Drosophila melanogaster: one gene and its partners. The protein of the gene in region 4 purifies or fractionates together with the protein of the main gene of each other region. This does not show direct contact. Each region holds a gene or a part of one and is shown on either strand. Other genes may lie near its edges.

What was found.
Region 1: the proteins of Fadd (region 4) and Myd88 purify together in Drosophila melanogaster (affinity purification with western blotting, with the first as the bait; one study listed by BioGRID). This does not show direct contact.
Region 2: the proteins of Fadd (region 4) and Dredd purify together in Drosophila melanogaster (affinity purification with western blotting; 5 studies listed by BioGRID, with this or other methods). This does not show direct contact.
Region 3: the proteins of Fadd (region 4) and Diap2 purify together in Drosophila melanogaster (affinity purification with western blotting; 3 studies listed by BioGRID). This does not show direct contact.

What each region holds. Positions count from the first base shown.
Region 1 is NT_033778.4:9,300,964-9,311,823, forward strand, and holds Myd88 (Myd88), read right to left. Parts: upstream 7,760-10,860; 5' UTR 6,832-7,759; coding exon 6,306-6,831; intron 4,794-6,305; coding exon 4,504-4,793; intron 4,440-4,503; coding exon 4,271-4,439; intron 4,198-4,270; coding exon 4,011-4,197; intron 3,373-4,010; coding exon 2,931-3,372; 3' UTR 1,860-2,930; downstream 1-1,859.
Region 2 is NC_004354.4:631,116-638,572, reverse strand, and holds Dredd (death related ced-3/Nedd2-like caspase), read left to right. Parts: upstream 1-3,027; 5' UTR 3,028-3,089; coding exon 3,090-3,179; intron 3,180-3,264; exon of another isoform or gene 3,265-3,283; coding exon 3,284-4,027; coding exon of another isoform or gene 4,028-4,048; exon of another isoform or gene 4,049-4,085; coding exon 4,086-4,448; intron 4,449-4,516; coding exon 4,517-4,671; intron 4,672-4,734; coding exon 4,735-4,867; 3' UTR 4,868-4,951; downstream 4,952-7,457. Other genes in the region: su(sable) (suppressor of sable), read right to left, coding at 1-126; Mybbp1A (MYB binding protein 1a), read right to left, coding at 5,105-6,529, 6,590-7,457. UniProt on the Drosophila melanogaster protein: Effector of the programmed cell death (PCD) activators rpr, grim and hid. May play an apoptotic role in the germline as well as soma. Fadd interacts with Dredd to promote cleavage of Dredd and is necessary and sufficient for enhancing Dredd-induced apoptosis.
Region 3 is NT_033778.4:15,930,618-15,938,838, forward strand, and holds Diap2 (Death-associated inhibitor of apoptosis 2), read right to left. Parts: upstream 4,209-8,221; 5' UTR 4,181-4,208; intron 4,101-4,180; exon of another isoform or gene 3,964-4,100; 5' UTR 3,954-3,963; coding exon 3,582-3,953; intron 3,203-3,581; coding exon 2,167-3,202; intron 2,104-2,166; coding exon 2,015-2,103; 3' UTR 1,553-2,014; downstream 1-1,552. Other genes in the region: bug (bunker gear), read left to right, coding at 4,279-4,306, 4,364-5,223; Mlf (Myelodysplasia/myeloid leukemia factor), read right to left, coding at 5,843-5,963, 7,062-7,262, 7,830-8,221.
Region 4 is NT_033777.3:22,031,007-22,037,385, reverse strand, and holds Fadd (Fas-associated death domain), read right to left. Parts: upstream 2,932-6,379; 5' UTR 2,824-2,931; coding exon 2,104-2,823; 3' UTR 1,769-2,103; downstream 1-1,768. Other genes in the region: pit (pitchoune), read right to left, coding at 1-134, 193-879, 1,089-1,310, 1,371-1,551; CG45099 (uncharacterized protein), read left to right, coding at 3,200-3,304; CG6015 (uncharacterized protein), read left to right, coding at 3,305-4,022, 4,088-4,566, 4,627-5,160; CG13409 (uncharacterized protein), read left to right, coding at 5,663-6,113, 6,180-6,379.

The DNA of each region.
Region 1 (10,860 bases), on a different chromosome or scaffold from region 4:
TTATACTTTATAGTTGATATTTGAAAATTATTATAACATCATTGTTCGACTTGTTTTGTTAATGTCACTTAGACTTGTTTTTACTGCAGACTTGAGTTCTTATTGTTAAGGCATCTCCCACTTGGGATTGCTATTCAGAAAGGGTCGTCATAGGTAGTCCATTGCAAACGTAGCTGGTCTACGTTGCTAGTCACTGTGTCCTGGATTAGATCTGTGTGCATTCGATTTAGAAACTTCCGCTGCGCAATTAGATCCTAAGACCTTATGCTGAGATCAGCCAACACTGTACTCCCATCTAACCAAAACTAACTTAAATGTAAAACGGAATCGAGAAGTGGAATAAGAAAGCGACTTTTAACAGACATTTGTCCAAGGCACAAAACTAAAGCATTGAAGCGAAAAAAGATTAAATGAAAACCTAGTATGTATAAATGAAAATTGAAATTGATAATTGATTGATAACGATAATAAATGAAAAGTTAGTGGAGAGCGGAGCAGGCGATGAAGAAGAACGTTAAACGAGAACTCACAATTAGCGAGACGAAAAAAAAATTCATTAGCGTTGTTTTAATTTATTAGTAAGTCGAGAACGACAAGCGACCCAAAACTCGATGATGAATATATCTCCATGTGTATGTATGTATGATTAAAGGACGGAGTACGAGGGAGGGGAGTCGAGTTATAGAGGTTGAGGAGAGGAAGGTAGAACGGAAATACCTATGCATAACATAGTTATAAGACGGGAACTCGCAATATGATGGTAACTCAACTTCAAAACCGATACAGACTTCTTCAGCTGACTTCCATAATCATAATCATTGTTAACACTTAACTATAGAGGATAACGCTTTAAACGAACAAACACACACTTACATACACGAACCTTGGTTGCGGTTGAGTTAGTAATAACCTATAGGTTCTGTTCCAGTTCCAGTTCCACATCACGATCCTGACCCAACCTGCCCCGCCCCTTTCTGACCCTTCCCTTTCCTTCCCTGCCCCTCCACTCAGACTCGTCGTCACACACTCTGTGTAAATGCAATCAGTTAGATTTATAAGATGAATAACAAGTCAACACGAATGTAAGACATCCCCAGAAGGCATTAATTAAGCTACGAAACAATTTGCAAATAATACTCATAGAGCGCGAGTCGAGGCAGAAGATGCAACATCATGCGTTACATTGTTTTAATATGCGAATTACGATAAATTGATCAATTAACATATACATACAACAAAGAACAAACAAATTACAAACTGTTTTTATTAATTTTGTTAAACGATAATGAAATCATTAAAATAACTCTAACAAAGGAAAACCAAGCTAAGCGGATAACAAACGACAGATAAAATTAATAACATATATAAATCGATTTATAAATACACACACTCACATAAAAACCAAAACACATTGAGCAGAGAAGCAACCAAACAAAACCCAAAAACATAAATTCAATTAAAAGTAACGAAACGAAACAAAACAAAACAAGACAAAAAAAAAAAAACAAAGTTTAAAGAACAAGCTCAAGTCGCAAGGAGCAGTAAGGCTAAAAAAAAAACATATTTGTTCACAGTGTAAATTGTAACACACAGAGAGCGAAATTAACGCAGGTTGCGATAAAGTGAGGAATGTGAGCGAGGAGCTATTATTAAAACATTAAACGATTTAAACAATAAAAAAACGAAAATAAATAAAACAAAAAAAATACAAAAAATTTAAACCGATTCGAACTGTCTTGTAGATTAACCGGAACTGGTCGATAAACATTTCCACTCAATATGTACGCGAACAACTGTATGTAAATACATATACGGGGATTCACACATCAACTGCAATGTTTATTAAACATGAACGAACTAAAGGTTGTCTACATTCAACAATAAATTATTGAGCCAAACATTGAACAGTTTATTGCCGCTCAACTGGAGCTAGCTTATTTCCGATATGGATACAGTGCGTTTCATAACCATGACCGCCAAGTGCCACGTGTCGCGAAGGTCGAAGTTCGAGCGTTCGATGCCCGACATTGAGGAACATATGTATATTGCGTTTTATCCACATTCGTTGTCGCTTGACAAAAGTTGGACATAATATATGGTTGTCGATCGACTCTATATGGTTTTGAAACGCACTGTCCGGAGATACATATAATACTATATAGACTCTAGATACATTGAAAGAGACGATGTGATGATGGATGACGTATTGATAGTCTTTGCTTTATAACAAGTGAGTGTGCTTAGGTGCACATCAGGCATATGGGCACGCATTCACAGCAATCAGTAACAATCGGTAACAGCTAGGCTAGAGCTAATCACATGAGGCAACCAGCCGATGGCGGTACCGAGAACAAACAGTTTACTTATTGCTAGCAATCGTCTAAAACGGCTTGAGCAGTTTACAAAATGATAAAGCACTGCTCGCACAATGCAGCCATATGTACGTATGCGTTATATATGCTCATTACTCATTCTCAGATGGGGTCTGAGTTGCGAGAACGGCGCGCGAGATAATTAAATTAAGTAAGTCACTTATCGAACGCGTGACTAACAGTTAATTGAGCACTTCGATTAGCAGTGTCGCGTATTTAACCTCACTCAACGCAATTGCCAATTTGTCTGTTTATCAAGTCCAGAGTCATATACATAGAGCATATAGCAATATCGTGTCGTATTTGGTAGTCTGTGTGCTTTTGTGATACATTTGTGCGGATATGTGGTATTGTCTTTATTCGTTGTTGTCTTATATAAGTTAACAAGTGCGTCTAAGTATATTAAGTTAGTTGACTTGATAAGGATTAGGCTAAAGATTATCACTAGGCATGGAGGGTGACGACATTGGTGACTGGGCGGCCACAACTAGACTGGGCACACGACAAGGAATCAAAGAATCGAGAAATCGAATGAATGGCTATCCTAACACTATGATCTCAGCCCGGCGTCTGCAGCTTGCTGCTGGATCGCGAGAATAGGGCCTTCTTCAGGATGTTCGGCTGCCACTTGATGAAGCTCTTCTTGCTCTCCGACGTGGTGGAGATGTTGGAGCTGCTGGCACTGAGTGTCCTCTCGCGTTCCGTGACATTTATGGTGCTGACGGAGTGGGCATGACGCAGAGTCTTGCCGCTGGCCCCATCGCTCCGCGCCGTCTTTCCAAAGCTGTGCGTGATTCTGCGCAGGAAGCGATCCTTTTTCTTCGGCTTGTGCTCCGGCAGGGGTGAGCCGGTGTCACCGGAAACCGAAACGATTGTGGTCTCCGCCTCCGGCACTTTGCAGCTGTTGTAGTTTGGCATATCAGTGACATCCTTGTCGTTGATCTGAATCCGAATGCTGGGAGTGGTCACCCGGGGAGCCGATTCCTCCACCGGCGAGGGACTGCATAAAGAAATTTTAGAGAATGCCAAATTTATGATATGAGTGATAAAATTCCAACATGTTTTACAATTAACAGCAAAACTAATTTCGCTTCAATATAATCTTACGCCCAGATATATAATACATTTATTTCCTGTTTATAAATTTGTTTCAAATTTGATTACTCATATGCAGTGTATTACTTCCTGGGCACTTTAAAAGTCGTATGAGTTCATCTTTCTGAAACAAACGTATCTTCTTTGAATTTAGCAAAACTAAATAAAAATACCTGCTAGGCTGTTCTAAGGTTGATCGCTCGTACGCCATGTGATATTTGCTTATATATTTTGTTTACAAGCAGTTGGTATACATTTGCACATTTTATGTGAATGTTGTGAAACGATTTCGCAGCCCCTACAACCAGCAGTAGCAATAATTGAACAGTAAAATCAAAAACTTAAGCTAATAAAATGTATTCTAAAACAGCTTCTTAAATTGGGATGACTAGACTACTTCATGTATTCGTATTCAGTTTGCAAACCTCATTTATCTGTTGGCTAGCAATCTACATTATCTTGAGATTTTATACCCCTAAAAATGTATCAAGTATTTTTGGAACACATACATATACATATATCGCAGGAAGTAGCAACACTTACGTCTGCACCTGGCGCGTGGAGTAGATCGAAAAGGCATCCAGATCGTGTAGGGAACGAGCCAACTTGTCCCAGAAGTTGAACAACTTGGAGTCCCCGGCGTACTTGATGTGCGTGTAAATGCCCAGGGTCTGGGGTATGTGCATGTCCGTTTTGTACAGAATCGGTATGATCTTGCGAGTGTGATTCTCTGGGGAAAGTCAGATCGTTGAACTTGTAATGCGACTCTGGCTCTGCGATACAAATGCGTATCAGCTACTCACCAATCTGGATCTTTTGGGTGAAGTTCACGAGGTACGTGTTCTCCGGACTCCGAAGAAACTCCTCTGTGAGCACGACGATCAGGTGATTGCAGCGGGTGGCCATGAAATGGGATAGCTGGACATGCTCGAACGGAACGCCCATTAGCATGTCGCGGTGGCGCAGGAATAGCTGCAATAGAACGATCCCATGGTTATTTAATACAACACACAGCAACCGAGCGCATCCCACTCACCCTGAGATTGTATCGCTCAGACTCTAGATTATTCATGATCTCGGTGGCATGATCGATGTCTGCCTCCGCGTACAGAACACATGCGTTGTATCTGGGCAGCGGTTGGCCCATCTGTACACATCTCTGGTCCTCGTCGCTGAGGATCTGCACACTTTGGCCCACTGTGATGTTGTTGCTGCTGCTGTAGTTGTTGTTGGTCTCGAAGCAGTCGCTGGGGGGCGGCGGACACGCCTCCACGAGAGCAGTCTGTCGCTGCTCCTGTTTCATGATGAAGCGCTGGGTGTCCTTGGCTTTTGAGGAGAGCAAAATTAAAACAGTTTTACTAAAGGGATTATGATTGCTAAAAACTACAAGGCCGCACAAAAAGTTTTCTTAACACATCATTCGTAAAGTAAACAACACAATTTATACATGTTAATGTCAAAATCAAATTACTTAAATTATGTTTATTAAATAATAAATATAACCCTTTGTTGATATATAATGAGCTTAAAGGAATGGCATAGTGAAGTTTATCTGAGTTTCTGCACACAGTCGCTAATATATGAAGCTTTCATAACAAATTGGTAGTATTTATGATTTGTAACTCAATATTATGTATGAATAGATAAGTGTATGCATATATCCATTCAGATGTCTGCCATTGTCTCCCCATCTTTTTATTCCAAATATATTGTCAGCAGAAAAGATCATTCTAGTAAGAGGTAGTGAATTCTAGATTCAAGCAGTTATCATCAACGACACATTTATAAAAAATTTACTTTTTTAGTTATTTTTAGTTTTATTGGAATATTTCTAAAACACCCAATGAAAGATCATTAGAAAAGGAATTCAAACATTTCCTTTGAAAAATTCCTAATACGATTTTAATTATGTGTGCTTTTTTATACCTTAAGCATTCAACTTCCGAGTGCGTTCATTTGTTTTTAAATCGAACCATTTTGGTCACAACGAATATATCTATACAACATCTGCTCCTAAACAAAATTGACTGTTCGAGGTTTTTTATTAATGACAACAGTTTTTGCTGGGTGAATCCCCATTGTGCAAATAAATAAGAAAATTTCGTTCTTAACTGATTGGCATTTTCTATAGTTTAAGTTCTGTTGTTTGCGGCTTTTAGAAATTATTGTTTTGAATTTTTTCTTTATGGCTGTGTGTTTTTCAATTTGTCGGGATGTGGTAATAAAAATCTTGTAAGTCGAAGCGTTTTATTTGACAATAAATAGAAATAAACACAAATTAATCATGGGAAAGTGGGTGACTTTTATTTCTGTCATTACGTATCTACTCATCATAACTCAATAGTTTTATGTATCCGACGATAAGCTTTGTTTGACTTAGATAAATGTGCGATAGATAAGTTAAATATGTACGCTTTCTGCATATACTCCCTATATTATATAGATTACCACGTCCATTTTTATAAACTCGAAACGGCTTTTCCGGTCATAAAACCAAAAATGGATCAGCCAAAAATAATTGATAAGTGTGGCTCGCCATTAAAGTAAAATTTAATGGTTCATTTTCCGATTTCCAACATTTGTGTACATATCATTTGATAAGTACATTATTTAAAATTCCTCTTCAACTTCGCAAACTCGAGAACAGTCAAACATACATAGTTAGTCTAGACGTTTAACTAAATTTTCACTGTCACGATGGCATTTTGAAGTAAAAGTCGAATCGTCAGACCATCATTTAAAAGCTAATCTAAAACAAATGATACTCAAAACTCAAGTGACATAGTTTAGTTATAGATAGATAGCGACTACCATAAGTAAAAAATAGTTAATGCCTACCCAGATTCTCCTGGATATCGTCGCAGACGTCCCACCGATCGATAATGCCCAGGAAGTGTTCCAGATGGCCCACCTTGGCGGTCTGGGGACTCCGCTGGCTCCAGCTGATCAGCACCAGATCCATGGGATTGTTGGCGTTCTCGTCGACGAATCCCTTCTGCTTGGCCAGCTCCGAGATGCCGCGCCAGTCCCGCTGGTAGCCCTCCTCGGATCGCAGCACCTTCTTGCGGTTCAGCATGCGGGACAGCTGGGTGCGGGTCTCGATGCCCAGTGCGGATAATGGGGTCTCGTTGAAGTGCCCCAAGCCCGTTCCCGTGCCCGATCCCGACCCGGAGTCCATAACTCCCTCGGCCACCACCATGCCAGCGGTGCGATAACGCCGATAACTGACGTCAGTGGCGCCGTAAATGTGATGGTGATGGGGCGGATTGGGATGGCGGTGGGTATGGTGATGGAAGTGGGAGTGGGGCTGGTAGTGGGAATGGGCCACCGAGTGCTGCTGATGGCATACAAATCGAGGGCGCATTCGCACTTGGCGCTGGCTTTATTGGAATAATTGGTGTTTGTTTGCTGGCGTATTTGTTTTAGTGTGGATGCGATGTGATGCGATATATATTTATCAACTGACGTTTATCAGTCGAGAGGGCGGCGAGCAATAAAACGATGAAGCGCGTGAGTTGTGCTGCTCTGTAGATTTTTTCGAGTTTTCCGATCGCGCGTGCTTGTTTTTTTTTTGTTTTTTGCGGGCGGATGAAGCTGAAACTGGTTAGAAGGGGGTGGTGCTTTACTGCTAAACTTCTATACTTCAGTGCGGTGCGAAATGGACCGAGTGACCTCCAGCACCTTGCCGCGTCACAGTCGCGTTGTTGTTGCTGTCTCGGATTCTGTTTTTATTTATCTGTCTGCTCCGCTGCGAGAGGAGATGGAGATCTTCGCCTTCGTTTTCGTCGCGTTTTTTATTCGTCTGGCGTATGATTTTTTGAATATTGTTTAAATATACACAACACACACACTCACAATCAGTGGCGCACGCACACAGTGTCGCCCTAAGCACAGAAATAAATTCGTTTCGCTTTTTTCGAGTGCGTCCGCTCCGGTTTGTTGTTTTGTTTCGACTGGTTCTGTCCGCCGTTTGTGCTTTTGTTTCTGCCTCGTTGTCCGCTCCTCCTCCGCCTCCTCCCCAACGGACTACTCTTCGCGCTCACTCTCCCGCGCTCTTTCTCCACCGCCTTTCACTCGCTTGTTTATTTTGGTTTCGTTCCGATGCAGGGCGAAAGCGCGGGGGCCACAGGCGGAACTATCAGCTCAGCTGCTTTTTCTAGTCGGCTGACAACACTCTGTTTGCACTGGCTAATTGCTAATTAATTTATCTGCGCTGCGTTCCCACTTTTCAGATCAGATCGCGATTCCGATAAGCTCGTGGCGATCGATGGGCAAAAGCTTGGCGAGTCACAGCTTTTCGGGTGGCCAGTCATCGGCGAGGTTTGGTACTTTATCGGGGCCAGTTATCGGTTGCGGTATTTTTGGTGCGCGGGCCACACTTTAATAGGTTCCAAAAGCATTCACCAGATGGCGCTCTAAGAGTGGTTGACTTAATTTCCGGTTGGTTAAATATAATTTAGGAACGTTGGTTCTTGCCGTAGGATTCCTAATTATTCATAAGCATAATTGATAATGATTTCTTGCTAGTGCAAAAGCAAGAAGAGTAGTAAAGTGAGTAAAAACGCACTCTCCTATTCGACCGGCTGATGTAGGCAATCTAACTCCTTTCAGTTATGCAGAGAATGGTACCTTTAATGGTGCCTCAAAAAGGAATATTTTACATTTCGACCTGTCCAAGACATACTTACTCATTTTACCGAGAAATATTGCTTCCCCGAAATCAACTGATTTGAGACGATAATGTGGGGAAATGAACATGCCAACCAAGGACCACACTCTCGTAAATAATAGTCAGAGAGCACTTGTAAATTCAGTTTATTTTCATTTGATTTTGTTTGTTCTTTGTGTGGTTGATGCCTGCACCTCAACGCTTTTCATTTTCAGTTACAAATACTGAGATATACTTACTACACAGGTGACACAAATTGATTTATCGCTTTTATGGCTTTGTTTGACTTTTTCTTTCGATTCAACATTTCTTGCTTTGCTTGATGAATAAAACGCTGAAGGCGTTCAAATGTATTTTAAATATATTTGTTTTGCTTTTTCATGGTTTATTTTTGTAGTTTTCGTTTTTCGGTCGGCGTTGCGTTTTGCATTGCCAGCAACAATTAACAGTAAAAGTTGATGCCTTGCACACAAGTTGAAGTTGAAGTTACCTGCTTTTGTTTGAATTCCGTTGTTAATTTATTTAATGTTGATTTACTCGGATAAGCCCCATCATTAGTTATTAATGTACCTACTTGGTATTTACTCATTTGGTTTGTTTGTGGCTCTATTTACAATACATCTGCCTGTGTGTGGTGTGGTTTGTGTGTCTTTCTTTGTATTTCGTTCATTTTTCACTTGTAAATAATTGCTCAAACTGGATTGGGCACCAAAAGTCTCTCGTTCAAAGGCTAAAAAGTTTGATTTTTTTCTCGAGAAATAATTTCGTTATTCATTAATTTATGCTTGCTGCGTGTTTGTGTTTAACCTGTGTCATTATTCAATATTCATTGGTATTTCGCCCTAGAACGTTTCGAGTATTTCAATTACATCAATTTACTTGCTTCGATTGTAGTTGTTTGTATAATAATTCAGCTTACATTTTTACACTTAGCTAGCCATAAATATAGACATTAGTTGTGTTCTTTTAATTAGGTCTCCCCTACCTCCTTCATTCAGTTAATCTCCTTTTTACTTTCGTTAGTTTAAGCATGCAGTTAAATCAATTTTGCAAACCTAGTGGATATGCTCTGCCCCATGTGTTAAATGCAATTACTAAGTATATTGTTGTTTGATTGTATATACTAAATATCCTTTGTGACTGCCTGGCGACAAATTTGATTATTTTAGCCTCTGTTTTAGCCTGTGTGTATTTGTGGTCAAATTCGAATGGCTTTCTGGGCCAAAATGCGTATCTTACAAATCTGAATGAGGTGTGTGATTCTTTGTCCCAGATGTACTTGCATTGCATTTAACAACGACCCGCTCTAAGTAGATTAAATGTTTAAGTTTACAATTTATTGAGCTAATTTAAAGCTTTCCATTTGTTTTCGCCCTGCCCGCCATTGAAATTCCGCTTCCCTGCTCGCCAAATGGCTTAAAAACAAATAAATTCGTATACAGAGAAAACTAATTGTAAGGAAAAGCTGAAACTGTCCAACTATAAAATCACGTAATTTACCTGAAACATGTGCTCTTAAATCAGATATTTATTGCAAATAATTTAGCCAGTTTTTAGTTAAGAGTTAACCGTATCAGTTTTGAATGGAAAAACAAAAATTTGTTTGTTTTTAAGATATTTCCTAAAATCATGCACTTTGTTATTTTTCTCTTTGTTTTCATGTGATGTTTATGCATGTAAATTTGTTTTGTGGCTACAAAGTATCTTTGAATCTCACATTAATTTAACGCCAGAGACCAAAAACCTATTAAATTACCTTTGTGCAATCGGGCTGGCGAGTATTGGGAAACATTTAGGTTGATAAATACATATCCGGCTAATTGGTAACTGGGCTAAAAGATGGGCGGTCAGGGAAGTTCGTTCTCAACTTTGCTTTCAAGCCTGCAACGCTCTGTTGGCTGAAACCGATAGAAGTTTGCTTCAAGCTAAATTTGTCGTTTGACTTGCAACTGAGTTAGCACAGGTTTATAAACTTATTCATTTGGTGAAGGCTGGGCAATCAATTCTTCCTCGTCGGATGCTCGACCACAAATAATTGTAACATTGAACACCTAAAAAAACATTTAACATTTAGCTTAGATTCACTTAGTTTAATCCGTTTAAAAATTAATTCGACAACAAGCTCGTTTTGCACTTAAGTAACAGTTTCACATCGATCCGCTAAATATCTAACTTCTCCGCGCATTTGTTATTTAATTGTTTATTAAGTTACGCTACGCCACATTTATTGCAGGTTCTCATTAGGATTTTGTAGGCTTTTTTCATTGGCACAAGTTGACTTCGAAGTTCGAGTAATTCTATTGAATGTTTCCTTGCTCCTTTACAATTATTGTTAACCTATGAATTGTAGTTTTACTCAAAATCTATCGTGGAATACTTGATACTTATGCTTGCGCTTTTCTTCCAACTCCGCTTCAACATCTTCAACGTCTAAGAGATACAAAAACTTTCGGTTGTTTATTGCTATTAACATTTACTTAGGAGTACTTTTTCAGTTAACAACTTAGTTTCAGACGTAACTATTGACCAACTTTTCTCCTCTTTTTCTTCGACAGCTGCCTGTCGACGCCATTCAGGAGGGTATTTGTCGGGTGGGAAAACCAAAGGAAAAGCTTGGCTGAAGAAAAATTGAAACCATTTCGCTAATCAACTGAACAATCGAAACCTTTTAATTGCTCCTTCCGTTTGGCGTCGTCCTGCAGCCCCAAGTAGATCATATCCTTG
Region 2 (7,457 bases), on a different chromosome or scaffold from region 4:
GAAAGTCTTCTTTTGGACTTGGATTTTTGAAGATTGCTGCTCGTCCTCCTCATCGTCGTCGATCTCGCCGTCCTCTAAATCCTCCTCCAAGTCAATTAAGGGTTCATCCGCTAAAGCGACAGACATTATCGATTTGGCAGCTAATCTCTCACAGGATGAGATTGGAATAATTGGTGCCCTTAAAAAAAGTGGCCTCCCTCTTCTGTTGCTGCACTCTTAAGTGTTTGGTATTTGGAAAAGCTGTTGATAAGGGATCGGATTTTGAATACCATATATGGATGCATAAATATGTTTTAAGGTCAAATTCCCAATCTAATCATATATAAGGACGTCTTATAATTTGTCTTAACGTCCAATTACAATATAAAATGGTATCTTAAAATAAAGCAACTGCTAGTATTAACTAAAAAGGTGGAATGTACCATAATACGCTTCTAAGTGAATAAAAACGAATTAATAAATGTAGTTTAATGCCCCTTATTCTTTTTTTCCAAAATCATTCGGGGATTATTTGAATCACCCCATTGGCGGTCAAAATTTTGAACACAAATGAAAGGAATTGGTTAACACTAAAATCAAGCGTTGCTTGAATAAATGCTACATTAATGTTTTTGAGGTAAATACAATATAAAATGGCTGGTATCACAAATGACTACGGATTCAGAAGGCACGTCCAAGTACTAGCGACAGAAACTATTGACTTAAGATAGACCACCCGGATCATACGATCCTGATGCATTCAGTCAGAGTCACTTTGTAGCGTGGGCAGCATGGCTGCGATGAATGTTTTGGGCACCCTTCCTTATCTCAGCACTCGGAAAGTTTGAGCACTTTTCGCTGACAATGGTTGGATTGCTCTTTGTTGGTTGGTTTAAGTGGGATCGGATCGCTTAGGTTTAGCCTGGCACTTAGCTAGTTCCAAAGTGCAGCAACAAAATAATAAGCAAATCAGTTTGATGAATTAAAGGGTATGGGTCCTGGACATGCTTCCAGTATAAAATAAAAGTGATCAACAAAGTTGCGCTAGCACATTTGTTGTGTGGAGAGAACGAGAAAGGAAAATACACTTTTTACAATTGGCTTAACATAAAGATTCAGTTATACGTAGTTTTGGACAGCGAAACAAATTCCAGAATCCGAAAAGCGAAAGTCGAAAGCAACGGAGTGGCTTTCCATTGAGCCTAGGAACAATGGGGAAGTCGTAGGCGTTTGCCTTTATTATTGTGCGTAAGCGGAGTGAACCGTTATGAGCCACACGCGCATATGTACATGTGTATGTAAATGCTCGTAGCATTGTACATATGGCGCGGATGCGTGTATATATTTGGATGTAGCTGATGGACGGAATCATTGCGATTGATGAAAATAACAAAATCCAATGCGTCTCACACACGTGCATATAGAGCGCGTGTTTAGTTCTGACTCGCGATTGCCAAGCATGTCGACTCGCTCGCACACTCATGATCTAAGCAGGGCATACACACACACAGCCGAGGCGTGCAGTGCGAGTGCGCGTGTGTGTGTCGACTGCGAGGCAAAATGTTTTTGTCTTTGTTTATACATACATACATATATTTTACAGCGACTTCAAAGCGAATTTGAATATAATTGTTACACTTGAGGTGAAAGTTTTTGTTTGGTTTTCGGTACGATTTGTTTGAATGCTCTGTAAATGGAAGGCGTTCATGCGTGTGGCTTCCCTGCTGCGCAGTTTCCACTTGCATATGTACGTACATACGAACAGCAAAAGAAAAGCACGCAATTTATCTTTTTGTTTGGCTGGCGTTCCAAAATCAAGTGTATGCAATTTAAAAAATTTGCACCATCTGTCCCTTTCTAGCACCCACGTACGTGGGCGTGGGGAGACATGGCCCCGAGAAACATACATACATACATGCATACGCACACATGCATATGCATTGAAGTACATACAAAAATCTGGGAACTACTTATGCCATACAAACATTTCATTTGTTCGATCTTACTCTCTTAGCGTGACTGCTTTATGCTTTTTTGTGGAACATTAACAACTTTTCGGTATTTGTTATAACATTGCTGTTCGGTTTTCGGTTTATAGATGGGATTTTGTTGGTTCGTTGTTTTGCATTTCGCATTTTGCTTTTCGGATTTTCTGCTTTAGTGTTTTGTTTGCGTCGCTGCTTACATAATGTGGAAGTGGTACAGTAGGTGGATAAATATATACATATATATAGAGGCATACATGTATGGGATATAGCAGTGGCCTCACATAGATGTGTATATACATGCATATGTATATATATGTTTGACATACATCTGACTTATACGTATTTGATGACGAAGTGGTTGTGAGGTACATAGATAGGTACGAGACAAATCGTCGAATTTTTCGCCAGTTTTCGTAAATCGAATAGCGGCTTTAGTTTTTTCTTCTGATACTATATGTATGTACAGATTTATATATATGTGCGTGAGGCAAGCGCGCGCTCTCGCTCGCACCCGCTTGTAGCTTGCTTTCGCCCTCTTTCTCTGCCTGAGGGCCCCGTATCTCAGTATCTGTCCCTTTCTCTCTGTCTGTCTCTGTTACGCTCATGGACAGAATACAATATACAAAAACATTAAATTAATAAAACTTTTCGTCCAAAACATAATATTCAGGAGTTGTGTTGTTAACAGTTCAACAGATCGACTTAAACGAACTAGAGGTGTGGAAACATAAAAATACCAGTACATCGATATTTTTCGCAAAGAACATATCGTCGTGTTGGATGATATTAGTTAATCGATGTTTTTACCTAGTATATTTGGTATTTCCCCAAAAACCGTGAACGCAAGCTTACTTTTAAAGCTAAAGGCTCGCTGGCTGCGACATTTTTAAATATTAACCGATTGTTGAACCGGTTGTTAAACTTCTATATCAAAAAACTACATCATCTGTTTCTTAAGTATAATTAATAGGTAGCACCCCGATCTTTCGCTATTGCAGAAAACATATCCATTTATCGATATCGATCGGTGGAAGCTCTTCAGGCCACGGCTATCGGATGTCAGCGAGTGCAATTTATCGGCCATTTCCTAAAGTGAAACATTTTTGTATATTCCCGATCGCCATGGCCGGATCAAACCTGTTGATTCATCTAGACACCATCGATCAGAACGATCTGATCTACGTGGAACGTGACATGAACTTTGCCCAAAAGGTATGGCACCTCCCTGGGAGGACTTTTCGAATATGACTCAAATGTTTTACACATCCGCTAGACCAAAGTGTTAATTAAACAGTAGAACCTTCGTTTTCTTCTAGGTGGGCCTCTGCTTTCTGCTTTATGGCGACGACCACTCGGATGCCACCTACATTCTGCAGAAACTTTTGGCCATGACACGATCAGACTTCCCGCAAAGTGATCTACTCATAAAGTTCGCCAAGTCCCGGCCAGAAACCTGGAGAAGACATCTCGTGGAGGCCCTGTGCATTATTGGGGCCCGCAAGGTGCTCCGGAGACTGGGTTTCTGCTGGCAGGAGCTGCGAATGCACTACTTGCCGCATATCGCTGGGATCACGCTGCATGTCCATCCTCTGTTGAAGAGCCTCTACAGGATGTGTGAGGAGTTGTCGTTGGTGCAGAGTGGCCGCTTGCTCCTAGATGTTCGCGAAAAGGTGGAGAGCCAGCAGGCAGGAGATCCACTTCGCTTCTACGATCCCGCGTACCTGGAGATCTTTTTGCTGGACTGGCTGACCAGAAGGAGCATAAAGTTAGGGGACATAAATGCCGCAGGCAGCGATGTTCAGCTGCTGGTCGGCCATTTGAAGTCCAACGGTCTGCAGGCGCAAGCAAATTTGCTCAAAGACACCATCATTAGTAACGCTCCGGAGCCAGATGCGGCTGGCACTGCTGCGATGGCAGTCAAGCAAGAGATTGAATCGGATAACCAGCAGTCGTACTGTTCCACACAAATAGATGCTCTTAAGTTGACCCGGGAGAACGCAGGAATCGCCTTGATTATCAACCAGCAGAAGTTTCACCGGAATGTTAGCAGGGATAATATGGTTTCATCTCTGCAATATTGAGTAACAAAAAGAAGTACAACATTGCCCTTCTCCACAGAAATTTCTGTCGCCCGACCCACTGCGTAGACGGGATGGCACGGATGTGGATAAAGAACGACTAATCGAGGTGTTTTCCTCGATGGGATACAATGTGGAGGCGTACGACAACGTGGATCACATGGGCATCATAGAGCGCATTCGCAGTGCGTGCGATAGATCGCTCGTGCGCGATTCCCTAGTGGTCTTCATCCTGAGCCACGGCTTCGAGGAGGCCGTCTACGCATCCAACAGCATCGCCATGAAGATCACGGATATCGAGGACTTGCTCTGCAGCTACGACACCCTGTACTACAAACCGAAGTTGCTAATCATACAAGCCTGCCAGGAGAAGCTTGTCCATAAAAAGAAGCCAAATGAGCTCGTAAGGAGATTTATAAGCATGAAGTCGTCGAATGGGAAAGCCTATACATTTTCGTATTCCTCTTTCAGTTTAGGATAGACGTGACCACCGTGTCGCCGGACCAGCACATCGACATGCTGCGGGCCATGTCCACGGTAAATGGATATGCTGCTCTGCGCCACACCCAAACAGGTAGCTGGTTTATCGGGAGCCTGTGCGATGCCATCGATCGCCGTTCCGCCAGGTAAAAAGCTGCCAAAGCAAGCTAGCCCCGAATTAATGCATAAGTTGTTCTTTGTTACTTTAGTGAACACATCGCCGATATCCTGACGATTGTCACCAACGAAGTGTCTAAAAAGCGAGGCAGTAATGACGAGTCCATGGTGCCGAATGTTAAAAGCACATTTCGCCAGCACGTGTACTTTCCACCTCGTCTGTGATTTTGGTTTTTAACGTTAGCGCAGTTGTACGTCCACTCAAATTGCTCTATAAAGGTAAAAATACATTTTTATAAAGTTTAGTGTACTTTTGCTATTTTTTCAATGACTTCAATACTAATTTAGTACTTTTCGTCAGAATTTTTTAAAGAACAAAAAAATTAATAGTATCCTATATTATGCAAGATATTTATACATCTAATTGTAAGGTTTCTTATTGGGGTGTTTCCTTCTTTTACGTTATGTGGACTCTTCATCTTCCACGACCATAGGTTTGGCGGCTGCCTGCTTCTTCTGCTTCGCCACCTTCTTGTTGGGTTGAAGATCCTTGGCGACGAGCTGAATTTGTTCACGCAGTTTCTGCCACTTCTCGCCTCCTTGGGCGAGGATCTTAAGCAGCAGATTGAGTTCCTTGGAACTGCTAGCCTTCGTTTCTAGCTGATTTACATATCTGGCTATCTGCTTCTCAAATTTCTTGGAAGACGAGTTGTTGTCCTTGAAAGCGACTTCGAGCCGGCGACCTTGCTCGCTGAGCAGCTTCAGTATCTGTGCCCGCCGAAAACTGCGTGTTTTCTGTACGTCCAAGTGAGAGGCCAGGACAACGGCCAGCGGAGCAACTCCCTGCCATTGGCCAGACTGAAAGAGGGCTTCGAAACTGGCCAGAGAGAGGCGACTACGTCGCTTGGCTACCCACAGCTCCAGGAATTCGACTAGAAGGGGCCAGACGGCACTTTTCTTGGGCTCGCCATCTGCTGATGCCTGGCTGACCAGGTAAGCGAAGCACCTGTCCCGCCAAATAATGATGTCTCTTTTGGCCTGTCGGCTGGCGGGCTGCTTGCCGTTCTCTTGGTCCTCTTCTGAATGCTCCTCGCCAGACGACATCAGCTGCTCAATGGCTTCCAGAATGGGTGCGGTGCTCTGATTTTCCTTGAGTTCGATATTCCTAGCGAGTATCTTTTTGAGCAACTTCAAACTGGCTTCTCGCAAGGATTGTAGTTTGCTGTCTGCGGCGCAATGGCTGTACACCTGGAACACGCAATGTAGCACGTCCAGGATTACCGATTGAGTTGGTTTCTTGGTTATGAAGAGCTCCAACAAATCCAAGGCACGAATGCGGAAGTGCAGCAGGTTGGTGCTATCAATGCGTTCCGATTTGGTGGGACGCTCCTTCTCCTGGGCTTTGCGCGACTTGGGTCGGAACATCTGAAAAGACCGCTCCAAAGCAGCATTCAAGCGTTCGCCCTGCTCCTCGTCCACATCGTTCCAATCCACGCTGCTGGCGCCATCGTCATCAGCGTCGCCATCGTTGACCAAAGCCTGGCGAACGCTCTCTCGAATTTGGGCCAAATGGGACTCTGCATCGTCCTCGCCCTCGTCCTCCTCTTCATCTTCATCTTCATCTTCTGAATCATCGCTTGAATCCTTCAACGATTCTTCCTTGTCGAGTTCGTCATCGCTCTCCTCCTCGCCATCGCTCTTTTTGCTCAGGGGATTTTTGTTCATGTTGAGCACTTCGAGGACCTGTTCTAGGTTACCGTGCTCAAGGTGCGGAATCAAAGCGGTGGCCACCAGTTGAACAAACTCCCGCCAGAAGTGACCTGTTTGCAAAAGTAACTGGAGTAGGGCATCTGTAAGCACGTCCTGCCATTTGAGCTCTTCGTTAACCTAGAGCAAACCAGTTATTTTAGATTTAGGATGACATTGAAGTATAGGTTCTCTACTTACTTGCTCCTTGCTCTTTTGCAGTGCATTCTTACGGCAGATAATCAGATCTTCCAACACGGTGATGGATGGGGGAATCTTTGTGCACAAAGCCAAAGAAACAAACAGGATAAGAGCCTCGAATGATTGGCCAACGACATCGGATTCCTTGCTGGGCCGCTCCAGCAGTTTCTCGACCTGCTTCCATGCCTTTTGCAGTGATTCGTCTCTCGGCGAACGCAATTTGCTCTCCGCATCCGGTTGTCCCAACTCTTTGTTAAGGTAACTCAATGTCTTCTGCAGCAACTGGCAAAGTCCTGGCAGACCCGAGCACTTGTGCAGCAGGGAGCCCAGGAATATCTCCTCACAACGCGCCGCGCACTGGCGACTAAAAGCGCTGGCTTGGGCAGCTTCACACGGCTTCTTACTGGCATCTAAGTGGAAAAGGCCAGCGAGCAACAAGTAGTTCAACTGTTTCTGTCGCCATTTGGCTGTCTGACTAAGCTTTGAGTGGTTCAGTATCAATTGCATCTGGTTAAGGCAGTGCACTCGGCTGACTCTGTCCTCGTCCTCCAATGAGTACAGCTTGTTGTTGTAGTAGTCGTACAGCTTGTGAAGGCTCTCGACGCTGAGTTGATTTATCAGTTTCTGGCAGAAACGCGGCAAGGAAATCACCGAGTCCAGCTGCAGTGTGTGCTCCAGCAGTTTGAGCAGCAGGTGAAGTTTGTTATCATCGTTTTGGAACTGCTTTTCGTAACACAAAACCAAGGATCCCTCGAACTTGAAGCAAATCTCCTTCAGCTTCTTTAGCGACGGTTTCTTGCCCTCACCTTTGTCCCATTTCACAGATGAACATTCATGCAACAGGAACTGTACACAGGTCGGTGTAAAG
Region 3 (8,221 bases), on a different chromosome or scaffold from region 4:
TAAGCAATGTTTTGACAGTAACTTCTGTGGGTCAAGCACAGACTCGCATAGCGCCAGTTCACTGTACTTCAGCTATCTACCACCATGCCAGCTACTCTTGTAAAACATCAAACGTTGAGATCGGCACGTTTTATGCAATTTCTTCGTAGACAGATAAGTGCTGCAAGTACGGGGTGCGGCATTCGCATTCGATCCCCCTCCTTTTGGGACTTGCATATGAGTAATGCAGTCAATAAAGTGCCCACCGCGTGTAACTGCGCCTCCAATTGAGTTCAATATTTAAGGGAAGCACTGGGTCAATTGCTAAACAAACGTTGTGTACGGATACATACATATATGGATATAGAAATTCTGAACACATTCGCAGTCCAGATAGCGGGAATTCGTTATTTGTTTATTTTTGCATTCTCCTCTGGCAGGCGGAAGAAAGAGAAAGAGAACGGTAAAAAGCCCGCCCTGCTTTTGTTTTTCTTTTTTTTATGCGCTGTTGAAATTGTATGTATTTGCAAAACATTGCCAACACACACCATCACGCATACATACAGGTTATCCAGAGTTTTAAATGAATAATCATTCCGAATAAAAAATAAACGCTGATTGGGCTTTTGCGGTTCGCTGGGGAATACCTTAATGGGTGGATTGGTCATTCTCTTTAGAAGGGAATGGTAAGGGGTGGGGGGACAGCCCACAGCTGTTTCCAGCGACTGACCCGAATGGAAAATGTGAGAAATGGTATCAAGCCAAGCGCGTATGCGCAGCACGCTCGACAACCGAAATTACGGTGTGTACTTGTGAGATTGAGATTTTCAGATACGTGTCGCGCTCTCTCTCCCCTCCCTCCCTCTTACAATCTAGATAAGCAACGCTCGCTGAACGTGTGTGTGCGTGCGTCGCTTTGTTTCTCACCGTACGAAAAAGTGTTTTTCGAAGAAGATTCCAAAATGGAAAGGTAGCGGACTGTAAGGGTTTTCTGGTGTAGCGGGGGGATATGGCCACTGCTTGCCACACCACACTATAAAGAGCATAAAGCGCCCACACTCCGTAAAATGCAGCAGCAACACCAGACACACACACACACACTTGAACTCTTCCTTTGAAATACTCGCAGAATATACTCACACGAGCGCGCGTTTGGTAATTTCGATTTCACACATAAAATTCCCCGTAGCTTCGGTTCGGTTCTTCTAAATTTTGTTCACTATCTTCTGCACTTCTTGGCGTTGGAGCTTGTTAGTTTTTCGCGACCAGAACTCAATGGAGCTCCCTTACGAGCAGCGCACACGACTTCACGCGGAGAGCTGAAAACGATTGCTTGGATACCAATATTTTGGTACTTTTGAGTAGAGCCGTCAAAACATCGATGCTACTATCGATAGTATCGAACCGTGCATGGCGATGATATCGAGATAGTTGTGAGCAGTGGAATCAGACTGTTGCAAGCTAATAGGCTAATCTCTCGGGGCACATCACTTGAAGACCGTTGGGATTTAAAACTTAGCAAAATAAATAAATTATTTTAAAGAATTTTTGCAATTGAAAAGACAAATTTTTTAACATTTACATATACATTTATTGGAGAATGCATATAGTTGTGTGTAAACCATACTATCAGCGGCCTATAAACATGATCAACAAAAATACATACATGTGTTAATAAGAGTACTATAACAAGAAATCCATGTGATCTGCGGTCGTGCCGGTGCATTGATACCCTTTTCAGCGCGAATTAGAGCTGCTCATCTATATAAGGTCATTTCAGCGTGCATAATGTATGGTTCAAAAGGGATGCGCTCGGACACAATGCGATAGTTAGTAACGACAACTTACAACCGTAGCTAATGTAAAAACGAATAGCTGCAGTTGGCCAAGTACTTAGTAGACGATTAGTAGACGATTATATTAGCTAATCACCGGATAATTTGAACTTCGCTGTAGTAGTTTGTGTGGGTGCAATCAATCGATTTGCTTAACTGCTAACTAGGCTGGTGAACTCTAAATGATGTCGATATGCACTTCACGAAAGGAACGTGCGCACGAATCCCTTGATGTCTGCGCGGCACATGGGACAATTGGCTACACTGGGGGCGCACTGATTGCAGGTGGCTGTCGGGTTAACAGGAAGTTAGCTACAGCTCAAGGCAATCAAGGTATAGTTCAGCGACTTACCCAAGTGGCCACAGGGCAGGAACACTACGCCAACCTCCTCGTCCAAGCATACCTTGCATAAGCGTGCATCCTTTAGCTGGCGGTTTTCCTCCTCCAGCGATAGGTTTCCGTTCGGCGTGGCCACCGACATCTTTTGTATTTCGTCTGTGATTTTCGATATATTCGCCACTGCTTCAGCTGCCTGTGGTTTGGCTGGGATGGAATCGGCCACCGGTATTGGCACAGATGCTGCCTTGCTGGTGGTGGCCTGACATGGTTCAATAAAAGGAGCACTTGGCTCCGGCGGCTCGCGCACCTCCAGTGCAGCTCCTGCGCCCGCATCGTCAAAGATGTCATGCAATAGTTCGTCCAACGTAGAGAAAGCGCAGCCGGAACTCAAGAGCTTGCGCTGGATGGCATTGCGCACAACTCCTCCATCGATACCCAAGGCTAGGGCCTCCTTGGCCGGAGCTTCATCCATCAGTACGTCTGCTTGGAGCGTTGGAGCCGGAGCAGTTGCTGGCTGGGAACTGGCGTTGGCAGCTGTTGTCGCGAGCACTTCGCTTACATAGGCTGGACCCTTGGCCAGCAAAACGAACTGACACTTTGGCGACCACTTGGCGTGTTCGAACCACGGCTCGTCCTCCTTCTGCCAGGAGCGCAATCCAATGTTGCAGTGGAAACAGCGCACCTGGTCGCCTATTTTCTGATAATATAGGCCAGCCTGCGCCAAAGCCGAAGCGGGCTGAATATTGGAAATGGGCCAATCGGTGAAGGTTCTCAATCTGGCGTCCACGCAGGCGTACTTGGGACGCAGTGGCAGAGTGGTGGGCTGGATGCCCAGCTCATCCAGGTTCTTCCCGGTGGCAAACTCTATAAGGGGGCCCATTTGCACACGAGGACATTGGGGAAAAAAGCGCTTGTGCTCTTCAAAGGCATTGTCGTTCTTCTCCCACTTGGCAATCACTCCGTTGCACCAAACACACTTCACGTGATCCAGACGGTTCAGGTAGTAGAAACCTGCCTTTGCCAGAGCCTGCGGCGTGATGTTGGGATTCTACAAAGGAAGACGTTTTGGGCTAAAGTTAAACTATCTTATTCAGTCATTAAAAATATTTGAAATTATACAGTATACAATAACTTCATTTGAAGTTCATAATGATTTTTGTATATCTTAATTAAAGCTTAATTTCGTAGGATTATCAATCAACATTCAGCTGAATTGAGGCAGCTAACAAGACATTTCTTGTTTGTATACAAAAATATCATTGATACTTTCGACCGGGATTTTCCTGGCCTCATTTACGCTACTTTTTAACTACGCAATCATACTTACATATGCACTTATAGTGAGCTTGAAACTGAAACTATAGTGATTACAATGACCCGCTATGGTGAATCACCAGAAGCGAGCGACACCAGCTCAGGGTACTCACCGGCCAGTCCTTGAAAGTTACCAAGCGATTGGCCTCCAACAAGAGATCGGGACAAGAGCAGGACTCCGGGCTGTCCACTACGCTGTTTCCCTCGTTGTCGCTCTCCTGGCTCCTGGGAACATTGCCGCAGTGATTGGGAGCCAGAACCATGGAGCAGATGGGCGAGGAGCGGCGATGGCGCTCCGCCACTTGATCGCCGTATTCCCAGCGGTCGATGCGCACGTGGCAGAAATGGCACTCGGCCTCCAGCCAGTTTCCCGTGGCAAAGAAACCATTGGCGACCAGATCCTCCGCGGAAACTGGGGCATTCAGGGGCCATTCCCCAAATGTCGCCAGGCGAACGCTCTCCAGCTCCATGCCCAGCTCCGTCATCGTGGCGCTTCTAAATTGGATCCGAATGGATCCACCAATGATGTAATGCCACCAAGGGAATCACCAGCGAGCGCAGACGAAAATGAAAATAAGGTAAGGTAAAAATATAAACTTATTGTAGCGATGTAAAAATAAGCATCGATGTTTTTCGATACATCGTCAATGTTTCATCGATGAAATACCAACTTAATGGGCACTGCTTACAAAAACAAGGTCAAGCAGTTTACCTTGCTATTCGGTATATCCAAACCTAAGAAGTTTCCAGGTATTTCACGAGTGCCATATAACAGCCAACTATTTCAACAGCTGTCCAACCAACGATATAATGAACCAAAATCTCTTGTTTGTATTTTGTACGTTATTTATTTATATCGAGTTCTTCAATCAGTAACATTATACCACTTCCACAGTGCTCTGCGCCGCGCAGGGCCAGGCGGAACTCTCCGGATTACTAAGTGCCCTCCAGTATTTCGGGCTCTTCTCAAATTTGACGGTGTATTCCCTGGGAGTTTCGCGGGGCCAGTGCCATTATAGCTTCGAAACCTTGCTGAAGGAGCGACACACATGTGCCCCGGATGACGAGCACATCATGCACCTAAACCAGCTGCCTCCGGTTCGAAAGCCACCTATTATGATGAAGTGCCTGCAGCGGGATATCGAGAATGAGACAGCATCCGAGCCGGAACTGCTGATAATGCGCAGTGCCAAGGATATAGTGAATCTGCTTAAGCCCATGGGCAATGCCACCAAGCGCCACGAGCCGGGCAACTGTGTACTTGTCCATTTCTGCACCGCATCCAGCTTGGAGTGCGCTCGTGTGGCTTCGATGGTCAACGTGCTGCCCCATTACTTTCCCACGCTACCCATCGCCTATGTGGATGCCTATGAGTTTGGTCGTTTCAATGCAGAATTCGGCATCGTTTCGCTGCCCACACTGATGCTATTCCACCAGGGCAGGCCGCTAATCAAATTCGAGCCCGGGTGGAAGGACACAAAGAGCAGCTTTGCCAGTTTCATAATGAGTCACACCAATATGAAGACTGTGAATCCGCAGGCCATTGATCCGATCATCCTCACTCGCGCAGAGATGGAGCCGCTGTCTAATAAACCCATTGTGCAGACGGATTACTATTTGGGCCTGGCTTGGGCCTTTATTCTCGTCTGCCTTGCCAACTTCCTGCGTAAGACGGCGCTCTGGAAGCAGCTGGTAGAGATGGTGCAGCGCATTTGGCGGGAATCCGAGGAGACGCAAATGGAGATGGTGGACTAGTTAGTTAATACGTTTAATTCTCTATAAGTCGCATAAGTAGAACACTGGATTTACTATTATAATGTAATTACCATTTAATTAAATTCACGTTAACATTTACTTAGGCCTTACGAATTACATGTATTTGGGGAATTGGTAATTGTTGTTTTCTATCGTTCGGAGCCTTCAAATCAATTGTGTTCATTTGCACGCTAACTGGCATCCATAATTTAAAGCTTAGTGGCTAACAAAATCTAAAAACTTGAGAATTAATCAAATAATTCAAACTTATAATTACGATTTCATATATATTCCATTACTTTCATTGAATTTTTCGATTAGGTCTGAGAGTGTGTGTTGTAATGATTTCGGCGTTGAATAGTCACATTTGTTTTAAGTAAATTTAAGCAAGTTGTTCTGTATCCTGCGTGCACATCAATAGCATCTTGAAGTTGTACATTTTTTAGTGTTGCATTCTGGTCGACTCACGCAGGATAAGACAGAACTGGTAAAGAATTGTGTTTGTTAAAAAATATTTGAATTGGTTTTCCTGCTATGGAACAGAACCCAACGCTTTGCTTCCTAGTGTTTTTGAGTGTGCGATGCGGAAGATGTTGGCATACAGATGATCACGTTTCTACTACTTCTTCTTGCCGCGCTTGACCGCCTTGTAGGAGCTGGCCGCTTCGTCCTCCGTGTGAAAATGTTTTACGGCACGTTGTTGGCGCCTCGGATTGGCGGCATAGGGATGTGGATGTATGCTGCTGGCGGAGCAGAAACAAATGTTCATTAATTAACAGAAACGATTAATTAGAATAAGGCACAATACAAAACAAAAGGTATACATAATAATCATTCGTACACAGGCCAATTCGAACGCAAGTGAAAATTTATTAACAGGAAGAGAAGGTCAAAGGGAGCATTAATGGATGATGTGGGCAAGCGAGTGATGGATTCGTAGGATTCGCGCATTATGTCGTTCAGTGGTGGCGCAGCAACAGCAGCAGCAACATAGTTCAAATTTTGATTATCGTCGATGGCCAATTGGGCGTCGCGTAGTGTGGTGGTATATCGTCGAGTGTGGCTCTCGCAGATTGCGGTCTACATGCTATACGGATAGGCAGGCGATGCTCTTTCGGGCGGGTCAAAATGCGAGTATGCAGACAGAGAGTTAGATGTGTATGGGAAGGTGCGGCCTTACACGTAGCTTGCGGCCATAGTCTTGAGCTGCCGGCACGGCACGTAGATGTGGTGTTGCTGCTGTTCGAAGTTCGAAGTACTTGTGGCGATGAAGCGGAGCTGAGCTGAGCGGATCGTAGCGTTGGTGGCGCCTTCGGTTAGTAGAGTGCATGTAGTTACGTCGAAGACAGCCGAATGTCGAGTGTTTCTCGTTGTTGACTTTATTACTTATGATATTTATCTGGATTAGCATAGGTTTCATTTTATGTATTTGGTACTGTATCCGCTCTACTTGCGGTGGTACCGCGAATTATAAATACGCCAATCTCTGCATGATTTGGAAAGTACAAAATGTTGATGGAGAAGAGAAGAGAGAGCGATATGTCGTTAATACACTTGGGTAAATGGTATATTAGAAGATCAAGATCGTTGCTACCCATGAAGTCGAGTTCGAAAAGAATAAGCAGTATTGGTTTCAATAAATCATTAACGTTGTTGTTACAAAAGCGTTGTCAACCATTTGTCGGACCACAAAACCCCGGCATCAAACTTCGGCTGTCCGAAGACGTTTTTCGGTTAGGACTATACAAGCAGATAGAAATGAGGTTCGAAGCTGACATAGTCTATGTAACTAGGTTAATCCCGTATTGCCGGCTCCTGCCGATCCCAACTGAACAAACCTTGGAGAAGTGGACACCGTAGCCAGCGGCGAGGATGGGGGTGTCCTTAGTGGGCGGCGCGGCGTGGCCAGGCTATGCCCATGCCCATTTCGCAGGTACGAACGACGAGAGCTCACGTAGTTATTGTTGTTTCCGTTGCTTGTATCGTAGGTTGTTGGCGAGGATGTTGGTGTTGGTGCTGCTGCTGTTGCAATGTTGCCACTGCGTCGATGTCGTAGGTAGTTGTCGTAGTATGGAATCGAGTCGAAGAAAAGTTGAAAAAGATTACAACAATACTTTTGGGGGTCTGGGACTATGCTAGTTGGCGATCCAGTTCATTCAACGCGAAGCATTTGTACGTCGTGAGTGGGTGAGAGATCATGGCGAACGAAATAAGTCGTGGGCAAAACGAAAACTGAACAAACGAAAGATGTTGAGAGCTTAAGTTGCCGCCTACCTCTGTGCATTCTATGATTTCGATTCGATATTCGTTTCGTTTGAACGCAGTTGGGAATGTAATTAGCAGAAATTTATAGTATGCAATTCTGTTTCTGTTTTATCGGATAGTTAGTAAAATATACTGTATTGACTTTAGATTTAGTAATTATATCTGCAAGTAAATACAAACGTTTCAATTTAGCAACAGTTGTGTGAGGAGGAGGTGTGGTTAGTTGGGGGAATCTTCGGATCGGGCGGGCTTCAGCAAATGCTAGTCGGCTAATCCTACACAATCACGCGCACGGAACAGGGATTCGGGTGTAGATGTGACGTTAATCCCTTCTCACTCACCTGTTCTGCGGTGCCGTTGGCGCACTGGAATAATGGCGGCCCGCGGAGGAGCGAACCGGTTGCTGCTCCTGGATTACACAGTCATCATCATCGTCGTCGTCGTCCTCCACTGGCTCAATGGTCAACGTCGAGGTGTGTGCCGCTGGACGGGCGGGCATGATGGCCTGCATGCCACCAGCATGATGTCTTGACTGCACCGCTCCGCGACTAGCGCGCGATGTAAACTCCCTGTCAAACTGCTCGGCTTCTCCCTCCTCCAGATTAATGAACTCCTGGCGCTCCTCCAGTTGTCCTGAGCGCATGTCCTGCTCTTTCTCAATAATGTGTGCCCGCTCGCCGATGTGATGACCAATGGCCATCTTCTTCACCCCAGTGCGCGAGTCCTGCACCGT
Region 4 (6,379 bases):
GAGTCCATCTACGGTCGCCGTGTCCTGGTTGTCGTGAACCCCTACATAAATTGGTTCCGACTTAAGGGCCAGCTTGGAAAGCGCTTCGATGCGAGCCGTCTGTGTGGCCGAGAAGAGCATCGTCTGGCGGCGTTCTAAAAGATTAGGTTAGTTTAAAAATACACTAAAAACCTTTAGTTACCCGTAACTCACTTGGCAGCAGATTTATTATTTGCTTAAGCTCCTCCTCAAAACCGATCTCCAGAATTCGATCCACTTCATCGATAATCAGGCACTGAAGGTTCTTGTACAGAAAGTCGGGCGAGTTTTGTAAATGATCCAGCAGACGACCCGGTGTGGCCACCAGAATGTTGATGCCCTTGCCCAACTTCTCGCTCTCCACCTGCCGATTGGAGCCGCCCATTACCAAGCCATAAGTGTGATGGTGGTGTGCCATCAGCTCTTTGAGCACACCGAAAGTTTGCATGGACAACTCTCGGGTAGGTGAGATGATGATCACGCCGGTACCATTGCGTGGCATAAACCTCAGCTTGTTTATCAGCTCGACGGCGGGTATCAGGAAGGCCAGGGTTTTGCCGGAACCCGTCTGGGCAGCACCCACCAGATCCCGTCCCTTTAGTAGGGGTGTCAGCGATTTCGACTGAATTTCAGTCATCTCGGTAAAACCCATCTCCTTAATGGCTCGCAATGTGGCCTCGGACACGGCGCCCTTTAAAGAGGCAAAGCTGCGATCATCCGAATCTCGGTAATCCAGTGCAGCCAGTGAGGATTCCACGGTAAAGGGCTCGTCGTCTTTAGCTGGTTTGCCATTCTGTGCCTTGGACTTGTTGGGAAGCAACTTCGTTTTCTTGGCTGGCACAGGTTCTTCTTCATCTTCATCTGAAACAGGTACTCTTGGTTAATTTTGGTTTTCACAGGGATACAGTTTTTTAGTATTTTATATAATTCAGTTGGTTTTTAAATGGATTTCATGCCTGCCCTGGGCAACATTAACTCGCTGCACCAGAGCTGCTCAAATTCGCCTTTAAAAATCATCATTATTATTGGTAGTTAGAACGAATTCCCTAAATATCGACACTTTTACTTACCTTCCTGCTGGTCATCATCTTCACTCCCGCTGTCAACATCCTCCTCATCAACTTCGGCTACTTCGTCCAAATCGCTATCCTCATCTGCCTCATCCTCCTGCTCATCGTCATCTGATTCCGAATCCGAGTTGGCCACCTGAATTTGTTGCTTTTTTGGAGGCTGTTTTTGTTGCTTCTTCTTGGGCAGCGGCGCCTCCTGGAAATCCTCCTCTAAGTCGTCATCTGCGGGTCGAAAAGTGAATCTTACATATATTTATTAGGCACACACGTTTTTAATCGTACCCTCATCCTTGGCCACATGCTTTTTACTGAGTTTCTCCGGTTTTTTACTGGGTTTATTGCCATTTTGTTTGGGTGGCTCCTGCTTTTGGGCGTTCTTGTTTCCCTTCTTCTGCGAGAGCTCCTTCTTCATCTTCTCCCGCTTAACGATCTTCTTCATCAGCAGCTTCTCCCGAATAGACATATTGCTAACTATGTATGCTTTTTAATAGAGTTTAATGGTTAAAAACAGAATTCTCAAATAAAATATTGCGCGCACGTGTTGCTAACCATTCACCCCGAAGCAAACGATATTCAGCCAGCTGTGCCTATCGATAATTGCCAATTCGATAGTTCAATGCAAAAGGTGTGACCCTATTTGTAAACAAATTTTCAACCGTCTTTTGAGGATAAGAGAAGCAAAAGCGTTTGCAAAACGTATTTTATATCCATTGTACATTGCTATCTTCAACTATGTGACTTGTGTATTACGAGTTAACAATATTTTTTGTAGACTATCTTATGATAAGGAAATGTGAATTCCCATTTTGAATGGAATACGTCAATCACATTTTCTTATAAGATCGTACAATTCCGCGTTGACACATATTAATTTAGTGTGCGATTTTTATGCTCTGTCCAACCTTGGAATAACATGTGAATAATTACAATAAAGGCACATCTTTGTCGCTCTCCAGCACATTAATTACTAGTATCGTAACAAAATGCATATAAAGTGCATATAAGTGAATGCGTTCTAGTGCGACATTATCTGCTCCACCCTCTTGCGCAGATCATTGCGACCACAATCGCCCAGGGCGCGACACAGACGAAGCAGAAAGTGCTTGGGATCGTGGCAATCATCCTCTTCGATGAGCTGCAGCAGTCGCAGAATCTGGGACTTCAAGTCGTGCGGGTAGCGCTCCTCGATTGTGTCCATTTGGCCCTCGCCAATGCCCGCCGATCGGCCCAGTCGTCGCCAATAGCGACCCAGTTCCTCGGATATTTTCTTAAAGACCATCGTTCGTTTGTGATCCGTAAAAGCAGCTGGGGTGGCATAGTTTTGGATTGCTGTTGGAGGCACAGCGGCAGCTAATTCCGAAACTGATGGCTGAGCATTCTGGGAAGCTGGAGCAATACGGAGCTGCTGACGAAGTTCCTCGGCCAATCGGAGTTCCTGGTACAGATTAACCGGATGTCCAAGAATGTTTTCCGGCTTTGTGTAGGCGCTCAGAGCCTCGATGAGCTGTGGCATATTGCCTGATATCCGGCGCAGTGGCTCCACATTGTACTCCGATAGTTCGTCCGCTCGTTCCAGGCAGTCAATTAAATCCTCGATGGTTCGTATGCAATCCGATCTGCGTCGCGAACCAATCTCTTCGACAAAAATTAGTTTCAACTGCTCCACGTTCTCGGTGCATCCATCAATGGCGATTTGTTTGAGGCTGTCGTAGCTCCAGTGCCTGCCTGCAGTCATTGTGACTAATTTACAGAGACGGTATTTTCAGCGGTCTTAAGTTCCCAAAATGTATCAACGCAACTTCACTCCCTGATGTAGTATGACCGTATGGCCAAACATTTCCTTACCTGTTATCGATCAGCACTGAATAGGTGTTTGAGCAAAATGAGCAAAAAAATATCAAATACTATTTCCATACAACTTAAAAAATTTAAAATAAGCTTTAAACTTGCACCACCTTGCATGTTTGGGATCTATTAGTGAGACCGTTACATAGCCATTCGATAACATCGATAACAGATGGCACGCACCATCCCTAGTTTTGATAGATATATATTTATGTTTTTGTTACTTTTACTGAAGCAACTAATGATAAACGCAAACGTGTAGACGAATGGAAATATCCATTAACGTTTTCGTATTCCTCCTCTACACTCTGGTCTTGATTTACCTTCAGCATTTCGTTAACAAGTACACAGAGTTCGTCCGCAGCCTCTAAATGTTGGGCCTTCAGTCATACGCCAGTTCCTCGGATGAAGAATCGGACCATGCGGACGCCGCCACAGCCACCACGAATTCAGAGCCCTCCGCTCCCATTCCGGATCACCTGCTGCCCGTGGACAAGACACACTCGCTATCCAAGTCCATTGCTGTTTGTGCGGCGCCAACGGTGGTTCCCCTTGGAGCATCGGCCGTGCCCCGAACTCTGGATCCCACGCTCAAGGAGGTAACCTACAATCCGCGCTATGAGGAGATGTATGCTCCGGTAAAAGGTCCGGAGCATCCGGACCTCACCATGCAGCAGCGCGCTCCGCGGAACACCCTAGCCGGCTACGTAGAGAAGGCCCACATCAATGCCTTCGAATTTGAGAACCAGCGACGCACCTTTCACACCTACGGCTACGCATTGGACCCCAGCGTAGACGATCAGGCGGACGGCCAGTCTTTTGTGGGTGACCTGCAGTCTGCGTACGATGACAATGGCAAGACGGTATTTGAGCCGCCCAAGGCAAAGAAACTGCGCAAGCAGGAGAAAAATGATAATCCCGAGGACATTGAGGGCTTTCTGGGTCCCTGGGGCAAGTTCGAAAACGAGGTGTCGGTGGCAAAGCCAAATGAACAGGAGCGCGCCGAACTGGACGAGCTGCTGTCTAAGCGACATAAGCGCGGACGCATTCCCGAGGATAAGCCGCTCGAGGAGAAGTCGACGCTGCACAGTGAGTTTAATCCAATAGCCACCGAATATATATCGTTAATAATCTTTTCCTTTTTTGCTCCACAGTCAAGGATGCGTACGACTATCAGGGCCGCTCTTATTTGCATGCTCCTCATGATCTGGGCGTGAATCTACGATCGAATGCACCACCGACCAAATGCTTTCTGCCCAAGGCGCACATACACACCTGGTCGGGCCACAACAAGGGCATCTCCTCCATCCGCTGGTTCCCCAAGACCGCTCATCTTCTGCTCTCCGGATCGATGGACTGTCGCGTCAAACTGTGGGAGGTTTACGGCGAGCGACGCTGCATACGCACCTTCTCCGGTCACCGGCAGGCCATCAAGGATATTGCGTGGAACAACAGGGGTACCAACTTCCTGTCTGCCTCGTATGATCGCTACATAAAGTTGTGGGATGCCGAAACGGGCGATGTAGTGTCCCGATTCACAACGCGTAAAATGCCTTTCTGTGTGAAATTCCATCCGGATAATAGCAAGCAACATTTGTTCGTTGCCGGCACCTCCGACAAGAAGATCATTTGTGTAAGTAAAATTTACAAAAGTAGATGCTCATGTTACAATTGTTTTCCTATCAATTCGCAGTGGGACACTCGCAGCGGTGATATTGTACAGGAATACGACCGGCACTTGGGATCTGTGAGCACCATCACCTTTGTGGACGACAACCGACGGTTTGTGACCACCTCGGACGACAAATCGATGCGCATATGGGAGTGGGACATTCCTGTGGACATGAAGTACATTGCCGACCCCACTATGCATTCCATGCCGGCGGTCACATTGGCGCCCAATGGCAAATGGATGGCCTGCCAGTCGTTAGACAACAAGATCGTCATCTTCTCCGCCCTCAATCGCTTCAAGATGAACCGCAAAAAGACCTTCACCGGTCACATGGTCTCTGGCTACGCCTGCCAGCTGGACTTTTCGCCGGACATGAGCTATCTGGTGTCGGGCGATGGCGATGGCAAATGTTATATTTGGGACTGGAAGACGACGAAGATGTACAAGAAGTGGCAGGCGCACGACGGCGTCTGCATCAGTGCCCTCTGGCATCCGCATGAGGCCAGCAAAGTGGTCACCGCTGGCTGGGATGGCCAGATAAAATACTGGGACTAATGGTCCGCACAAAATAACATAGATAGATGTAAGCCAAACTGATGTGTAAATTGATTGATTATATTGCTTACCCATTATGTTCCAATTGAGCTCATTTAATTCATGTGTATCAAGCCCAATTCCTAAGTTATTTATCCATCCGGTTGCTTGATATTCCCTCCCCCCTTTGCGAGATTGGCTTTTATTTACCTTCAGTTGTGATAAGAGTACGCATGCGCAGTGCATGTGAAATGGCAAACAACTCGACGGATGGTCGGCCCACCACCCAATGGCCCAGCCACCCCCACTGGCAAGTCAAAACATATGCGAGTAGTGCTGGCCAAAATCGATATTTTCCACGAAAGTCGCACAAACGTCGGACGGATTGTGGAAGACTTGTCAATAATCTGTAAAAAAAACGCGAAAAAAAAAGAGTTCTACGGCGTAGAGGAGATGCAGTAAAAGGCGACGGCTAGGTGGACACCGAGCATCAGCTAGACACCCGTAATTCCTGCCAGCGGCCATGGCCAAGCCCCACTCGGATGCGGATGCCTCTGGCCTGGGCTACGCCTACCAGCTGCCGTCCGGCGGCCTCCTGCTGCGCCTCAAATCTTCCCTCTCACAGTTCAGCGATTTGTTCAGCGACTTCAGCAGGTACATCTCGCCCGCCTATCATCACGATCGCTGCGAGCGATCCGTCCATATGCGACTCTACTCGATGCACAAGCGCGAGTTTGTCATGGTCTTCCTGGGATTCTTCACCTGCTTCGGTCTGGGCATAGTCATCGGGCTGACGGGACCGCCCATAACCAGCACATCATCGCTGACCGCCCAGCAGATTCTGGCGAACACCTCGCTGGCGCATAGCCCAACGGTCCTGGGGAAGGGACCCTTCGCCATGAAGTCGCCGCTGACCACCACATATTCGCAGCAAATGTGGCTGATAGCCAAGCTGGTGACGGACAACAATGATGGTGGGTCTTGTGATTGCGACTATTTTACTTTTCTTACATTTACATATATGTATGACAATCATTCAGACGAGCGGTACGACAAGAGTTTCCAAGTGAGCGTCTCAATCGATGGCATAAACGAGCAGCACAAGCCCCAAAGTGTCCTCGGATCCGGAGTGGCTCACAACCGGACGCGGCACTTGGTCTGCGTACGGAACGACTGCGAGGAGTTCACGGTGATGCATCTGGGATTCCTCGACTATGCCCACTATATTATCACTGTGCGC